Kluyveromyces lactis: one gene and its partner. The protein of the gene in region 2 purifies or fractionates together with the protein of the main gene of each other region. This does not show direct contact. Links are inferred from orthologs where the notes say so. Each region holds a gene or a part of one and is shown on either strand. Other genes may lie near its edges.

The links.
Region 1: the proteins of GCN1 (region 2) and KAP104 purify together in Saccharomyces cerevisiae (affinity purification with mass spectrometry; 3 studies listed by BioGRID). This does not show direct contact. The link is inferred for Kluyveromyces lactis from reciprocal best matches to the Saccharomyces cerevisiae genes GCN1 and KAP104.

The regions. Positions count from the first base shown.
Region 1 is NC_006039.1:389,202-396,767, forward strand, and holds KAP104 (Kap104p), read left to right. Parts: upstream 1-2,966; coding exon 2,967-5,621; downstream 5,622-7,566. Other genes in the region: protein phosphatase regulator BUD14, read left to right, coding at 611-2,674; DAL1 (allantoinase), read left to right, coding at 6,093-7,566. UniProt on the Saccharomyces cerevisiae protein: Functions in nuclear protein import as nuclear transport receptor. Serves as receptor for arginine/glycine-rich nuclear localization signals (rg-NLS) and PY-NLS in cargo substrates. Its predominant cargo substrate seems to be mRNA-binding proteins.
Region 2 is NC_006042.1:1,147,133-1,154,800, forward strand, and holds the start of GCN1 (Gcn1p), read right to left. Parts: upstream 4,478-7,668; coding exon 1-4,477. Other genes in the region: KLLA0_F12452g (uncharacterized protein), read right to left, coding at 5,077-7,668. UniProt on the Saccharomyces cerevisiae protein: Ribosome collision sensor that activates a translation quality control pathway when a ribosome has stalled during translation. Directly binds to the ribosome and acts as a sentinel for colliding ribosomes.

The DNA of each region.
Region 1 (7,566 bases), on a different chromosome or scaffold from region 2:
CGTACTTACAAAGCTGGCTCATCTCATTATATACATCGCATTTCAATTTTTTATTTCTCATGTCTCGAGGGAAAGTAATATCGAAATATATCGAGATATGTCAAGTCAAAAATCATCATTTAAACACGTGACTGATATATTCCACGTAATGCTAAAATAGTAATCCGGGTAATGAAATATATTTCGGTTTCTCTTTCGCATCAGTTCCTTTTTCGCATAGCGAAGTTTCTGACATTCACAGCCGTTAGTCTTTAGTGATATACATTTAGAGATACAGATATGGTGGAATTAGTGAGAATGAACATGAAACGAGACAGAGAGGGAAAGGTGTATAGCGTACAGTAAAGGTCGTTCGACTTATCGAAGCTAGCACCTATACAAAAGGCGCAACAAACCATTTTAGAAGGGTTTTCAGGGGGATTTTCCGCTCTGGATAAAGCACTAAGAGGCTTGAAACAGCTTTTAATTCTCTTGTTTTTGGTGCAACATTTTCCACTGAGGTTTCAGAGATATATTTATACACGCGTTACTTGGAGAAAAGTATTATCAGCTTCCATCTCTGAATCCTATCTGTGCATTAACTGCTATTATACCACTCGAGTTGTATCGTATGATGGATTTGGAGTATCCTAAGATGTCAGGACTCGCAGGTCTGGGCTCTGGCTTAAGATCACGGGAACGATCAAAACCTGATCTATCGATATTAACTGATCCTACACTGGTTGAGGATTTCGATGAAATCATGAAACAGATGCGAAGCCTCAAGAAGGACGAGGAATCCCTGAGTGTCAATGCTAGTGTTGTGATAACGCCGACTGAAGCACATGCTAATGACGTAAATCGTCAAAAAGTTGACTATGAAGGTGTCCCGGATCTCGGTGATTTACAGTTGGAAGATGAGGAGGAAGAAGAAGAAGGAGAAGAAGAGTTAGCACAGGATATCGATAATGAGCATGATACCAGTTTCAGTTCGCGACATGGGAACGAGCTGCAGGATTCAGATTATGCATATTCAGATTCGGATTTTGAAGATAATTTGGAGGAGCGGTTAAGAAGTTTAGAGACTTCTTCTCAAAGAAACAGCGGAGAACATGTTTCTTCTGTGAAAGGGATAGTTGCAAACGATACATCGAGTGCTATTGATAATAACATGGTGGCAGATCGTGCGAAAGAAGCAAGAAACGGATTGGAGCAGAGATCATATGACGATATTGATGATGACGATGATGAGGCAGAAGAACAAGATGACAACGACGAAGAGGACTTGAATATAGGTTGGAACACTAATGAATCTGATGATTCTGATGAGCTGCAGCCGTTAAATCCGCCGCAAGAATTAGACCCCAGCAAATTATATGCATTATACCCGTTCCAGGGACCTGATCCATCACATTGCCAGTTGGAACAGGACGAAGGTTGTACTCTTTTGAATGACCAGGACTCTTATTGGTGGTTAGTTAAACGTTGCAGTGATGGGAAAATAGGATTCGCGCCTGCAGAACTTCTTGAAACGTTTCCTGAAAGGTTAGCTAGACTGAACTGTTGGAAAAACGAAAATATATCATCACATTCAATTTCTCATAAAGAGGATTCAAATTCAAGCAAAGAATCGAATATTTTGAACAAAGAAGATAGTATTGAGGCAGTTGAGTCCCCGTTGAACGCATACTCAAAAACTAATAAATCGGTTAGCTTCAATAATGTTGTCAGTTATGCTGAAAGATATATTGATGAAATAGAGCAAGAACCATTGGAGGACGACAGCGGAGAACTGAATGGTGCAGGAGAATACGTTCATGATGTGGAATCAAGAGACGGGCAAGACGGGCATCTACACCTGGGAACAGATCTTGGAACTCACTTAACACATGTCGATGAAATACATGAAACCCTTCTGAATGATCATTTGTCAGATGATGTAAGCGAAGTTGTAAGTGATGCTGCCTTCAATGTCCATGAAATGGCACCATTAATGGTGCAAAAAAATAGACCTTCAAAACCTGCCTTGACGGATCTGTTGTCAGAGAAACAAAATGATCTAAAACAAGTCTTTCAAGCTCCCACTATGCCAGTAGCAGCACCAAGAGGTACTTCCCAAATGACAAATTCAAATTCAAATTGTTCCATATCTACAATCGGAGAATACTCGCCTTCCTCTTCAGACTGGACAAATGATTCACCTCAGTTGCTAAGTGAAAAGGAATTCGAGAAGTCTAATTTGAATGATCAAATCCCATCTTCCAGAGCTATTCAAGATATATCGAAAATTGTAAGCTCGCAAGATGCGCCTGATTTGAACTCTCTTCATGATGAAGATTCTCTGCAACATAGTGAATCATTGCCAAAAGTAACTCATAATCACCAGCATTCGATATCTACACTGAATGCTGTAGATATCAACAGTTCTGTCGGGACAGAAAAAACTATTGATATTGATGAAGAAAATAGTATCTTACCAGATGAAAATACAAACGCTTACAGCACCGTTCCATCCTCTATAGCCTCAAGTTGCATGGACCATGAACACAACTCTCCATTAATTTCTGAAGTAGCATTGCATACAAGCACTGGTGTAGTAGGGGATTATCATCCAGTGATTAACTCCTTGTACAACCCTATTTTCAGCAAAATAGATGTTATGATGGACAAGATAGAAAACGCCATCTCAAACTGATATTACCTCCATTCAACGCATTATGTAGCTAACTTTTATAGAGACATAACCCAACAACAGCAATCACTATTGCTTCAGTAATCTGTCTGTGCTCATCTCCTGTTTCAGTACCGAAAGAATAACACACGTGACCGCAGTACTGCATTAGACTTTAAAATTTTTTTTTGGTTTGTTAGCTCATCGCAGAGATATCAAATTCACTAAAAACATTTGAGCAGGAGGAAGCACGGATATTGCTGATAAGGAAGTGGTCAGTACCGTGGAGACTCCATAAACAACCTTGAATCCCAGTATGCCATGGTCACCAGATAACGAAGGACTAACTCAACTTTGTTTGACATTACAACATGCTGTTTCAACTAATTCTGATGAGAGACAGCAAGCACTCGATGCATTGGAAACATTCAAATTAGAACCACAGTTTGCCAATTATTTATGTTACATTTTACTTCATCTTGAGGAAATGGATCAGTTAAGAGGTACTGCAGGTATTCTTTTGAAGAATTGCATATTGGGAGGCAACATCGTTGACCTAGGGTATGTCAAATCAGAAATTGTACGCGGGTTGTGTTTGAATAACAAATTTATTGTCAAGATTACTGGTATTGTAATTGCAGCCTTGTATTCTACTTATTATAGACAGCATAGAGAAGATCCTCAAGGGTTAATCACACTTGCACAATTAATTGAGCTCGCGAGAGACAATAACGAGGGTTCTTTGAAGGCCTTATCCAAAATGATGGAGGATGGTGCACAGTTTTTCCAGTTACAATGGTCGAACAATCAGGTGCCGATTGGAGAATTGGTATCGTTGTTTTTGACTTTGATGGTAGAAGGTAAGACACCAGTAGTCAGATCTGAGAGCATCAACTGTTTGAACAATATTATCCCGTTACAGTGCCAAGAATTATCCGTTAATTTAGATACTTTATTGACAAACATCTTCTCGTTAGCATCTAGCGAATCTTCATATTTAGTCAAACAACAAATTTGCCAGTGTTTGACCCTGAACTTAGAGTTCAGACCAGACAAACTCATGACACATCTACAGGGCATCATACAATTCATGGGACATTTGATTGTTAACACTGATAGAAACGATAGTGAAGAGGAGAAAGTTGCATTGGGAGCATGTGAGTTTATACTTGCGTTGGTGTCGAATACAAACGTACCAGATCATCTGATACAACCTTATGTGCAAGAACTTGTTCCACTTCTTTTGACAAACATGGTTTATAGCCAGGAAGAAATTGTTGTTATGGAAGCTTCCAACGGGGATGATGCAGACTCTGAAGACAAAGATGAAGATATCAAACCAGTTTCAGCAAAAATACAAAAGAAAAATGACGATGATAATGACGAAGACTCTGATGATGACGAAAACTTTGATCATGAATGGAACTTAAGAAAATGTGCAGCATCAGTACTCGATATACTTACCGGCATATTTCCGAAGGAAGTCATAGAAACAGCACTTCCACTACTTAGAGAACATTTGACTTCGGATAGTTGGTACATTAGAGAGGCAACAACACTATCTCTTGGTGCTATGGCTGAAGGTGGCATGAAATACTTCGATGGTCAATTGCCAGCGTTGATACCATTTTTGGTCGAGCAATTGAAAAGTCCATGGTTCCCAGTTAGAAGAATGACCTGCTGGACTCTAAGCAGATTCTCCATTTGGATCTTGGATGATCGTACCGAATTTTTAATGCCGGTACTAAATCCTATCATGGAAACTTTACTGGACAAAAAGAAAGGTGTCCAAGAGGCAGCCATTACGGCAATTGCCACTTTTATCGAGAATAGTGATCCTGATATAGTTGGTACAGTCCTATATGAGCCACTATTAGACAGATTCGACGAATGTTTCAGATTCTATCAAAAGAAAAACTTAATCATTTTGTATGATGCGGTCAGTAGGTTGAGCGAGAAGTGTGATCTTGATGAACAAGCTATTACGAAGTTACTTCCCCATTTATTGAACAAATGGTCTGCTTTGGACGACAATGACAAAGAACTCTGGCCACTCCTGGAGTGTTTATCGTATGTATCAACATCTTTAGGCCCCAGGTTCGCTCCGATGGCTATGGAAGTTTACAATAGAGCTTGGAATATTCTCTGCAGATGTGTTGATTTAGAAGCCAAATCACAAGTTGATCCAACGATAGTGGTTCCTGAAAAAGATTTCATCATAACTTCACTTGATTTAATTGACGGGTTAGTCCAGGGGTTAGGTTACGATTCCAAGGCCCTTTTATTCCCAAATCATGATACCAACATGTTTTCCGTCATCTTGCAATGTTTACAAGATCACAGCCATGAGGTAAGACAAAGTGCATACGCGCTACTGGGAGATATAGCATATTACTACGAGAGGCAATTATTTACAAGCGACTTCTCAAAGCGAATGGTGGAAACAATCGGAAACGAATTGATTCAAAACGGAGAAAACCATGAAGCTGTATCTACTGTCAATAATGCTATCTGGTGCCTAGGTCTCATGGCACATAAGATAGATCTGGGCCCTTGTATCATTGAAATAAGTAGGATAGTGCTGGACCTCTTCTGTTCTACTCAGTTGGTTTTACCAACAAGCATAATGGAAAATTTGTGCATCACCATTGCTAGACTAGCTCATTTCCATCCAGAAATCTTCACACAACCACCTTTTGCAGGCGAAACCCAATGGCACAAATGGTGCTCTATAGCCAGTGAACTCACAGATCCAGAAGAGAAAACCGTCTCTTACACCGGTTTCATTAAAATAATGAACTTAATGGATTTCAATGCCCAAGGCATGCCTTCCGACAAAACCTGGGAGCTCTTTTTCAGAGGATTGCAACAAGATGTCGACATTTCCATTATATCAGAGGACCTCTACGCTTTGGCAATGAGGCTACCAGATCCTTGGCAACAATTGTTAATGAACTCCGGAATGTTTTGAACAGAAGAAAAGCATGATGTATAACCGTCATTGTTAACCAGTTACATAACGAATAGGTTACGACGCTCGTATGTGTAGGCAAATAATTTCGATAACCATACCCTTCCCCTCTTCTCCTGAGGCAAAGAGTCGTAGTAAATCACAACTGTCCAGCCGTTGCAATCACGTGATGCAGTCCTAGGCAAGAGCGTTTTCGGTTTTCTCCGAAAGAATACCTTCGAGATGACTGGATCGTACTGATAAAAAAAAGAAAAATCGAAAAATTCCGAGCTGATAAGGCCCGTAATCTCGAAGAGAGGTAAATATACCTGAAGCTGTGGCATTGGGATATATAAACTGGCACACAAGCTACAATGTGGTATGTAGTTTAATTTAAATGTTTAGTTGTAAATGAGTACTGACTTGAATTTATCTTGATTTTTTCTTTTACCGCAACTTATTCTTTGAATCTGTGTCATAAAGGCATTGACAATGATACAAGCCGTCGCTTCAAACCATGTTGCATTCCATGAGGGCGTAGCTCCTGGCACGATTATCTATAGTGTAGAGAATGGTAAAATTTTGGATGTACTACAAGGAAGGGTAGCCACCGAAAGAGAACTAATAGGCTGTGGATGGAATTTAGAATCCTATGACATTGTTTCGCCGTACTTAATAATGCCTGGATTGGTGGACGCTCATGTACATTTGAATGAACCTGGTAGAACTGAATGGGAAGGATTCGAGACGGGGACCAAAGCAGCCGTCGCTGGTGGTGTTACTACTGTCATAGACATGCCTTTGAATGCCATCCCACCAACAACGAATATTAAGAATTTCAAGCTGAAATTGGATGCAGCAGAGGGCCAGCTGTGGTGCGACGTTGGATTTTGGGGCGGGTTAGTACCGGACAACTTAGCCGATTTGAAACCGCTAGTAGAAGCTGGCGTAAGAGGTTTCAAAGGGTTTCTTATAGATTCCGGTGTCGATGAGTTTCCTGCAATTGATAAACGATACATCCAACAGGCGTTGCACTTATTGCAAGGTGAGAAAACTATGGTTATGTTCCATGCTGAATTACAGCTACCAGAACCTGGCCACGAACACACTATTGTAGACTATAATGGTGAACTGGGGACTGACAGTAATGCCGAGAACTTGCTTTCTGCAACCAAGTCATTATCATCTGTCGAACCAAAATATGGTCAAGTTTCGGAATTAATCCAACATCACGAAGATCATTTGGATTCAATAACTACACCTCTCGAAGCCGCAGAAAATGAAATATGCGACCATTCATTGTCCAAAATAGATCCATGCGAATACAATAGCTTTTTATTATCCAGACCGGATCATTTTGAAACAGACGCAGTAGCATTAATTGTCAGTTGTTTACGCAACAGCATCCTTCAGAATGGGATCGAAAAGTCACCGTTCGTTCATATAGTACATCTAGCATCGATGGAAGCTTTACCAATCTTGAAACGGGCTAAGGATATGGGACTTCCAATCACCGCCGAAACTTGCTTCCATTATCTTTCATTGGCAGCTGAAAGGGTTCCTAAATCCAAGACTTTTTACAAATGTTGTCCACCGATACGTAGTGAGAAGAACAGAAAGGAACTTTGGAGAGCCTTAAGAGAAGGTCTAATCACTTCTGTAGTAAGTGACCATTCTCCATGTATACCGGAGCTAAAAGACCTCGCAAAAGGTGATTTTTTTAGTGCATGGGGAGGAATTGCATCCGTCGGGTTGGGACTACCATTACTATACACTAACGGTGCTTCCATCGCTGAAATCATTCAATGGTGTTGCGAGAACACCAGTAAGCAAGTTGGTCTTGATCACAGGAAGGGTTTCCTAAGAACTGGATACGACGCAGATTTTGTTATCTTCGACATCAATACCTATCAGACTGTCGACAACGATAAAGTTTATTTCAAAAACAAACTGACAGCCTATGATG
Region 2 (7,668 bases):
GAACAATGGTAGACAAAGATGCAGAGAGTTGAGTGGGATCCAAATAAGCCATGTTACCCAAAAGCTCCACAGAACCTCTTTTTGTTCTCCAGGATATATCATCAAGGTTAGAAACAGCAACAGGAATTAGTTTCTTCACACCAAAGCTTGTGGTAGATGACATTATAGCCTTAGTGGCCTGTGCTGTAGCTTCGCGTACTTCAGGAACTGGATCTCCCAAATTCTTTAGAATGTTCGGTAGAATCTCAATCACGTATGGCTCGAAAAACTTCCCTAGAACAAGAGATAGGCACTCGAACCCATATGCAACCGATTCACGGCAGCGTGGGTCTTTTTTATCTTCGGATCCTTCGATTAAGCTGCGAATAACATCAAAGTCTGAAAGAGCAGAAATACCGTACCCCTTTACTAAACCAGCAATACCCCAAGCAGCACCTCTTCTAATTTGGTTTGGTGCAGGTGAGTCAAATAATGCTTGCAAAGAGAAGTCAATGTATTCTTGGGCAGAGCTCTGGAATAAGGGAACCAAAGCAGATAAACATTTTGAAATTGATTTTTGTAATTCTTCTGATGGAGTTTGAAGGGAGCTTAACAAACGCTCAGCAATGGTTCTAATTCTTGGATCATCTTGCTTCAAGTGTCTAGCTAGAGAACCATATAGAATAACGACATTTTCTTTCATCAAAACATCAGTAGAAGAAGACAAAAAGTTTTCAAATATTGGCATCAAATCTTGCAAATACTTACTACCGTGGTAGTTAATGATTTCGATACCAGCTTCTTTCATCTCCTGGCGAACAATTTCCTCTCTATCACCTAATGCTCCAGAATCAATGAGGAAATGTACGAATTCAACAACAGCACCAGGACTGGAACTAAATGCACGGCAAAGTTCTTTCAGTGCAATGGCAGTAGTACTTCTTGCTTCCCAAGGGTCCTTTTGCTCTGTTGCACTGATTTTAACCAAACCGTAGTCATCAAGAATATCCTTAGGAGGTTCTGACTTCAAAGCATAAAAGTTCAATAGTTCGTGGAAGTAACGGTTGAATGAATCTGGATTTTCCAACTGCAACTCTGAGACAGCAGATGCGTACGCCCTAGCTGTGAAGAGTCTTAGACCACTATCCTCCTGTTCAAAGAAATTCAATAAATCGTTCACTAGCTGATCCATAACTTTGAATTCGTTTGATTTCCATATGAAGTTCGCGATGTCCCTATTATTTTCATCTTCATTAAAGCAAGTAATATAAACTTCAGGAGAGTATTCCATAAGTGGTTCGAGGTCGTACTCATCATCAAGTGCCTCCAACACAGTCGCCTGAACAAATTGATTTGAAGTTAGCAAGCTTTTCAATAAAAGGCATAAATCTTCCTTAGTTGGATGTATTGATATATTTTGACATAAAGAGATGAAATACTCCTTTGCCAATTTTGCCTTGGATGGGAGAGCCAAAAGAGATAAGAGAACTGATACTATGCTTTGACGAGGGATAGATGTATCTTGGAATGCTTCGCCATGAGTAGATATGATATCCAAAGCCAAAAGTAGCTGTTCTTCCTCAGGATCTTCTTCCACAAACTCGCTACGATTTGTAGGTTTATTAGCATTCTTGATTGCAACTTTTTTACCGATTTCCATTACTTTTACGAGTAGTGGAAGGATATAAGTCAATGCCATAGATTGGAAAGGTATTTGTCTGCAACCATGTTTGATTTTGAATAATGCAGTTGAAATCAGTTCCAATTTAGTCTCTGAATTCAGATCTGAAAGAAGATGAGGAACTCTATGAACTATCATCGTTGCGTAACCAACAGTTTTAGCGAACATTCCTAACCTATCATCCAACAAAAAGGATAATTGCAAAAATACGTCAAATCCGAGTGATCCAAATAGCAAATAAAAGTTTTTCTGTTGTAGAATATCTAACAACGAATTCACAGATGTGGGGAACCAATATTTGATACCATTATCCAAAAGATTTGCTTCAGAAGCCAACTGAGAAATGATATCAATAACGCATTTCACAGATAAAACGAGCTCATTAATACTTGATCTAACATTTGATTCCTTTTTCAACTGTTCGTCGACAATCTGTTGTTCTTCCTTGTTCAACTTCTTTGAACCTTTCTTGGCTTGGTCCTTTCTTATACTTTCTTGCCATTTTAGAATTTCATAATCCTTTGAATTCTTGTTGTTTAAGATAGCTGATTGTTTTGCAGAGAGTACATCGACGACAAGTGTACCTTCTTTTCCGTTCCAGATTTCAATTTCTTGTTCTGTCACAGCAGATAGTTTTGTTGTATCCAAGTTTAATTGAATCATGCTTGCTACCAAAGGTGAGGTGATCTCAGGATTGATAAATGAGAGGTGAGAAATGGCTTTAATAATGGCTCTTCTTAATTCTGGTGTTGTTTTATCAGCGCTGTTAAGCAAATACATCATATTGTCGAATAATTTCTCACCGTATTGTCTCACTATTTCAGAAGGATCCAACTCTGCATTAAGGACTAAGCCAGCCCATCCATTCTTCAATTTAATGCCGTCTAATTGGGATAATACTAACAGCCTTGTTAACAAATGTACGGAGACAGACTTATCCGAAAGTTTCTGAGATAGGGTATTGAATAAAGGTGCTGCAAAACAAAATGATATACGCGAAAGAGTATCATTCTTTTGTTTTGACAAAGTTTCAAAAGCATCAATTATTGCATTGCCGACAAATTGTGGGTTCCTGTAAAATGCGCAGTTTAGAAGCTGTAAAGCTTGCTTTCTCTGTTCAAAAGGCACTTGCGTGGATAGGGTAACATATATCCAAGAAAGACCGTATGACTCCTTGTGTGCTTCAAGGATGTCATCGATTTTGGAAAGTATTGCAGTTGCACTCAAGTCAATAAGATGTTGAATGTAAACGAAACATCCATATGCTGAACCTTCTCCATTTTTTAATGGATTATTACAGACCTCCTTCAGATATGCAAGTGTTTCGTCTTCGAGCTGAACAATGATATTTAGTTTTGCAGTGTTTAGGTTGCTTAAAAAAGAATTGTACCATATCTTTCTCAAAGGTAACTTATTCTCATTAAAACCGGACTTTATGGCAGCAATTGAAACTTCGTCTGCTGTTTCTAATGAGGACAAATGGTGGAAAAATGCTGATAACATAATATTCAATGCTGTCTCATTGGATTCCTTCGAAATATAAGTTCTCAACCCATCCACGATTTTTGAAGACACTTGATTGGAGAAAGTTGGTACATTTATTAACAAGTTGGATATAATAATCTTATAGTCGGTATTCAGGTTGGTTTTCATGTTCTTAAAAGCCTCATCCACAAGTTTTTGTAAAGATGATTCGTCACAGGAATCAGAACATATTGACCTCAATAATGATATTAGGGACTTCAAGGAGCTTTCACGTACGATATCTTTTGAGCTTTTGAATGATGTAAAGGTTTGAGTAATGCATTTTGATGAAACAAATAAACCCAAACTATTAACTTTGTTAGAATTGAACGCCGAATAGAATTCAGCAGATTGGGTGAAAGATGTTTCTGGTGATCTTAAATTTGCTTTCTCAAAGCTTGGAATCAAATGCTTCTGAACTTGTTCTTCAGTAACAAATGAATATAGGAATTCTTTCAGGAAAAGTTCCAAACAGAATGCTGAAGGCAACTCTTTGGCGAGGATAACTTCTTTACCGAGATACTCTACTAATCTTTCAGTCAACTGTTCCAGCGAATGCAAAGGAATTGGTTTCTTGGCTTGGCACTGTAATACAGAATGAACTAGGGATCCCAGAGTGATAACTACACCAGTATTTGGAAGCTTCAATTTCGAGTAGTTGTCTAATAACAATGGAATAACATCATCAACAATATTAGATTTTGAATCTGTAGTAGATTCCAGGTTCACACAACTAACGAAACTCTTAACAGATTGTTGGAAGACACAGAGCCTCAATCTCTTACGATGTTGGTTTTGCTTATTCAAATCTTTCTTAAAAGGTTCATGGGTATCTAGGATAGTCTCGATAGCTGCTACAAGCATCACATAAGCGTGGACTATTTCTTTCCAATAAACATTGAAGAGCTCATCTGATTGTTCATAAATCAAATTCAAAAATTTAAGCACCCATTCCAATAAATTTAAATAATCAGTAACAGCTTTAGAAGGGCAGTTTTGAGTGCTGGCAGTCTTGATAACAAAATCACTTATCTTTTTACAATAGATGGGGTCGGTTTCAAACAATTGGACCAGGATTGAAGTGACTAGAACTTTTGATTCTTTATCCTGATATAAATCATAAGTGCTTAGTACGCAATTGAAAATCAATTCCAACGCCGAGCTATCAGTTTTACTTTTATCGTTGGATTTTAACAGTTCTAGGGCACTTCTTAATACCGGTAGCCTGACTGTCAATAAAGAAGCGTGGCAGTCTCTGTAAAGAACAGGCTCTAAATTTTCCCAAGTAGACATCCGTAAATACTGTTGAAAAATGAGATGAGACTTCTCAACTATGTCGTACTTTTAATAAATTAAGAGTCGGTAATTTTCAATGGCTTGCCGCTGATAAGCGTCTAAAACAACATTGCTTAAATCACAACTCATCTCTGAAATAATGAACTCTGCTCTTGTTTAAAAAACTATTCAAGATTTTAACATACAAATCTGAAAAGCTTTGGTGAAAGAAAAAAAAAGTACAAGATCAAAACGTACAAAATGATGTATTGTAACTAACTTGAGGCTAATACTATACTTAATATAATTAGTATTATAATCATCCCATTGATATATTAATGGGCATAGTAGTTCGCAAGTGATACTTTCTTTAATGTGCGATTTGTAGCAGTTTCACATTCAGTTATCAATTGGACTTTCCACTTGGTTGGACAACACAGAGTTTGTCCAGAAAATTACTATCATTTTCTATGAAGAAAAGAAGGTACGATATTATTTAACTATACTGACGCTGCATGATAGTGACTAGTATGGTTGAAACAAAATAATACTGAAAACTTTCAATTATAATACATAAAGTCATATAATGTGTAAGGTCAAGTCTAAACTTATCGTGTTCAAGACTTGTTACTTTGGTTAGTCTTGGACCTTCCAGTGCCAATAGTCAAGTTTGAGATTGTCTTGGTGATCTTTTCAAAAGATTTGAGATTTGGTGACGGTGACGGTGACGGCAGGTGCGGATTACTATGTGTGTGAAGTGGAAGATGAGGAGATTGCTCTTGAGATTCAGGTCTCGTTATTGAACGCAAAGTTGGCTGTCTTCTTTGTTTCATCAAAGTGTCATCAATTTCAGACATATCTTGTGCAAGTTTTTTCTTGAGAGTTTTGATTTCTTTAGAAATATGCAAGCAGTCCTTGCATCTAACCATCAATTTCACGTCACTCACTAAGACTGCAGATTCGTAAATTAGTTCCATGACATAATCCACAGGTGGGAGTGAATTTGGTGAAGCAAGACTATCTAAAGTGGATAACTTCTGGTTGTGGTACGGTGGATCATTTCTGACTTTACCGCTAAACAAAGACGGTTTCTTCGTATAGTTAGAGCCAGATTCAGTCGATCCTCGAGATAAGGGATCAACTGAATCCTCTAGTTCTAGTGCTCGTTCTCTGAAGGACCTCTCTATTTTGCTCTTAGAAGGTAGAGAAAGTCCAACACCTAGATCGTCAGAGTCAGAAGGACAGCTTGAATCGTTCGTATTAGATTTTTCCAAAGCGTCATGCTCTAAAATATCTCTTACTTGATCAAGTTCGTCATCTATGTTGTGCATTTCTGTAGTTGTATGGACTGGGCGTGCTGGTGAAGAAGAGCGTGTCAAAATTTCAGGAGAATCCACAGTAGAAACTTCCTTGCTTAAGCTCGATTTATGTTTTGGATTTGTATTGATTCTTTGTTGAATATGTGAGATCGAAGATTTCTTCCCGGATACAGTGATGGTGCTTGGATAGTGGGCTGATGATATTGAATTTATGCTATCCCTTGGACTTCCGGTTATCACCGAAGGAGTAAGGGCAGGTGCGGAAGAAGAATCAAAGGAATTCAACTTATCAAGATGATCTTGGGTAGCACTGCTACTAACTGTACTCACCGAAAATGCTGCAGACGCCTTTCGCAAATGATCTATATCAAAGTAACCGTCATCTATGCTGTTTAACGATTTTTCAATAGCCTGGTATTCCTGGTAATTTTTGTGATTTTCCAAATACTGTTGCATAGCATCTTGGTCATCTTCAAAAAGCAGTGAGACTCGATTGAGGAAAGCATCTTTTAGAGATTTGCTAATCACAAACAAGCTTTCCTCTTTCTTCCCGATGATAGAATAAAATACTTCAAGCATTAGATCGAAGAGCAATGGCACTTCATAAATCTTAGCCATATTCAATAATCCCACCGCCACAGGTGATAGAGGCCATTTACCATCAATTTGGCCAGTGAAAAAAAATTCCGCGAACGCTTTAACAGTTTCTGTAGGCCAAGGCATATATAATGACCTAGGTATGAATAGAGGCTCGAAATCAACATCGCCCGAATTCAGAGTTTGACTGGTCAGACTCTCAGTATTTGAAGCAAATGAGTTTCGCTCGTTTTGAGGGGTAGTCATGCCATCAGCTTCGTTATCTGGTTTGTGTAAAGGATCTCCGACAAATACCTCATCAATTCTGTTTGGATAGATATTCTCTTGTGATATATGTTGAGAAATATCATGGTGTAAAGATGATCTTCTACTTGATAATGGAGAAGTTGAAGTTCGATAGCGAGTATCCGGAAAAAAATGATCCGAAAGTCGATTGTCAACACTAAAATCATGCGATGTATGTGTAGGTAGCGCAGGGAGCGGTTCACTTGGGACAGGCAGTAATGGTGGTAGCGAAACATTCAGACTCAGTATTTCTTCAGATCCTGGACTTCTGTAAATTGACTCTCCCATTCTATCGCTTGAAGAGCTGACACGAGAAATTGAACTTGACGTAGAAGCTAATGAAGCTTTACGGGAGCTTAATGGACTATTCAGCCCAAAGCTTGAATGAAGTAAATTATCATTCCCCAGTGACTGAGAGATTCTACGAGATTGAGCTTGGCTAGATCTCAGGAAATCGTCAGTAAAGAGAGCAGAGTATGAGCTTGCAGAATTTTTCCTATTCGAAGGTACAGATATTTTAATTGGTTCTGAAGTGTCATTAGGATCTAAGCTAATAGGTGGTGGTGTTGATCTCTTAGAGCTTTCTCCGCTTGGCCTGAATGGAACCCTAAATACCATGCCACCGGATGAACTCGTTACACCTGAAGCAGCGTTTGAATGACGTCTCTGAGAAGACTGCTCCGATATTTCTCCCAAAGAGACTATATGATCAGGATTTACTCCCAAAGAGGTAGGTAATCTGTCGTTGGCGTTAGTAGCGGTTGCTAAGCTATCTGAATGAGAAGCTATCGAATGAGACGAGTTATCATTTGTTAATTTAGATGTGCTTGGCGTATTGAAGAATAAGCAAGCGGATTTCCTTTCCATTGGAGGCGTGCTGCTTTGCACAGACTGTGCACTTGGTCTGTGGCGGCTAAAAAATGTGTCCAAAGATCCTTGTGATGTTGGCTTCTTGTCATCCTTAGCTATGGAAGATATTGAACTAGATGTATGCGGCGAGACGCCTAA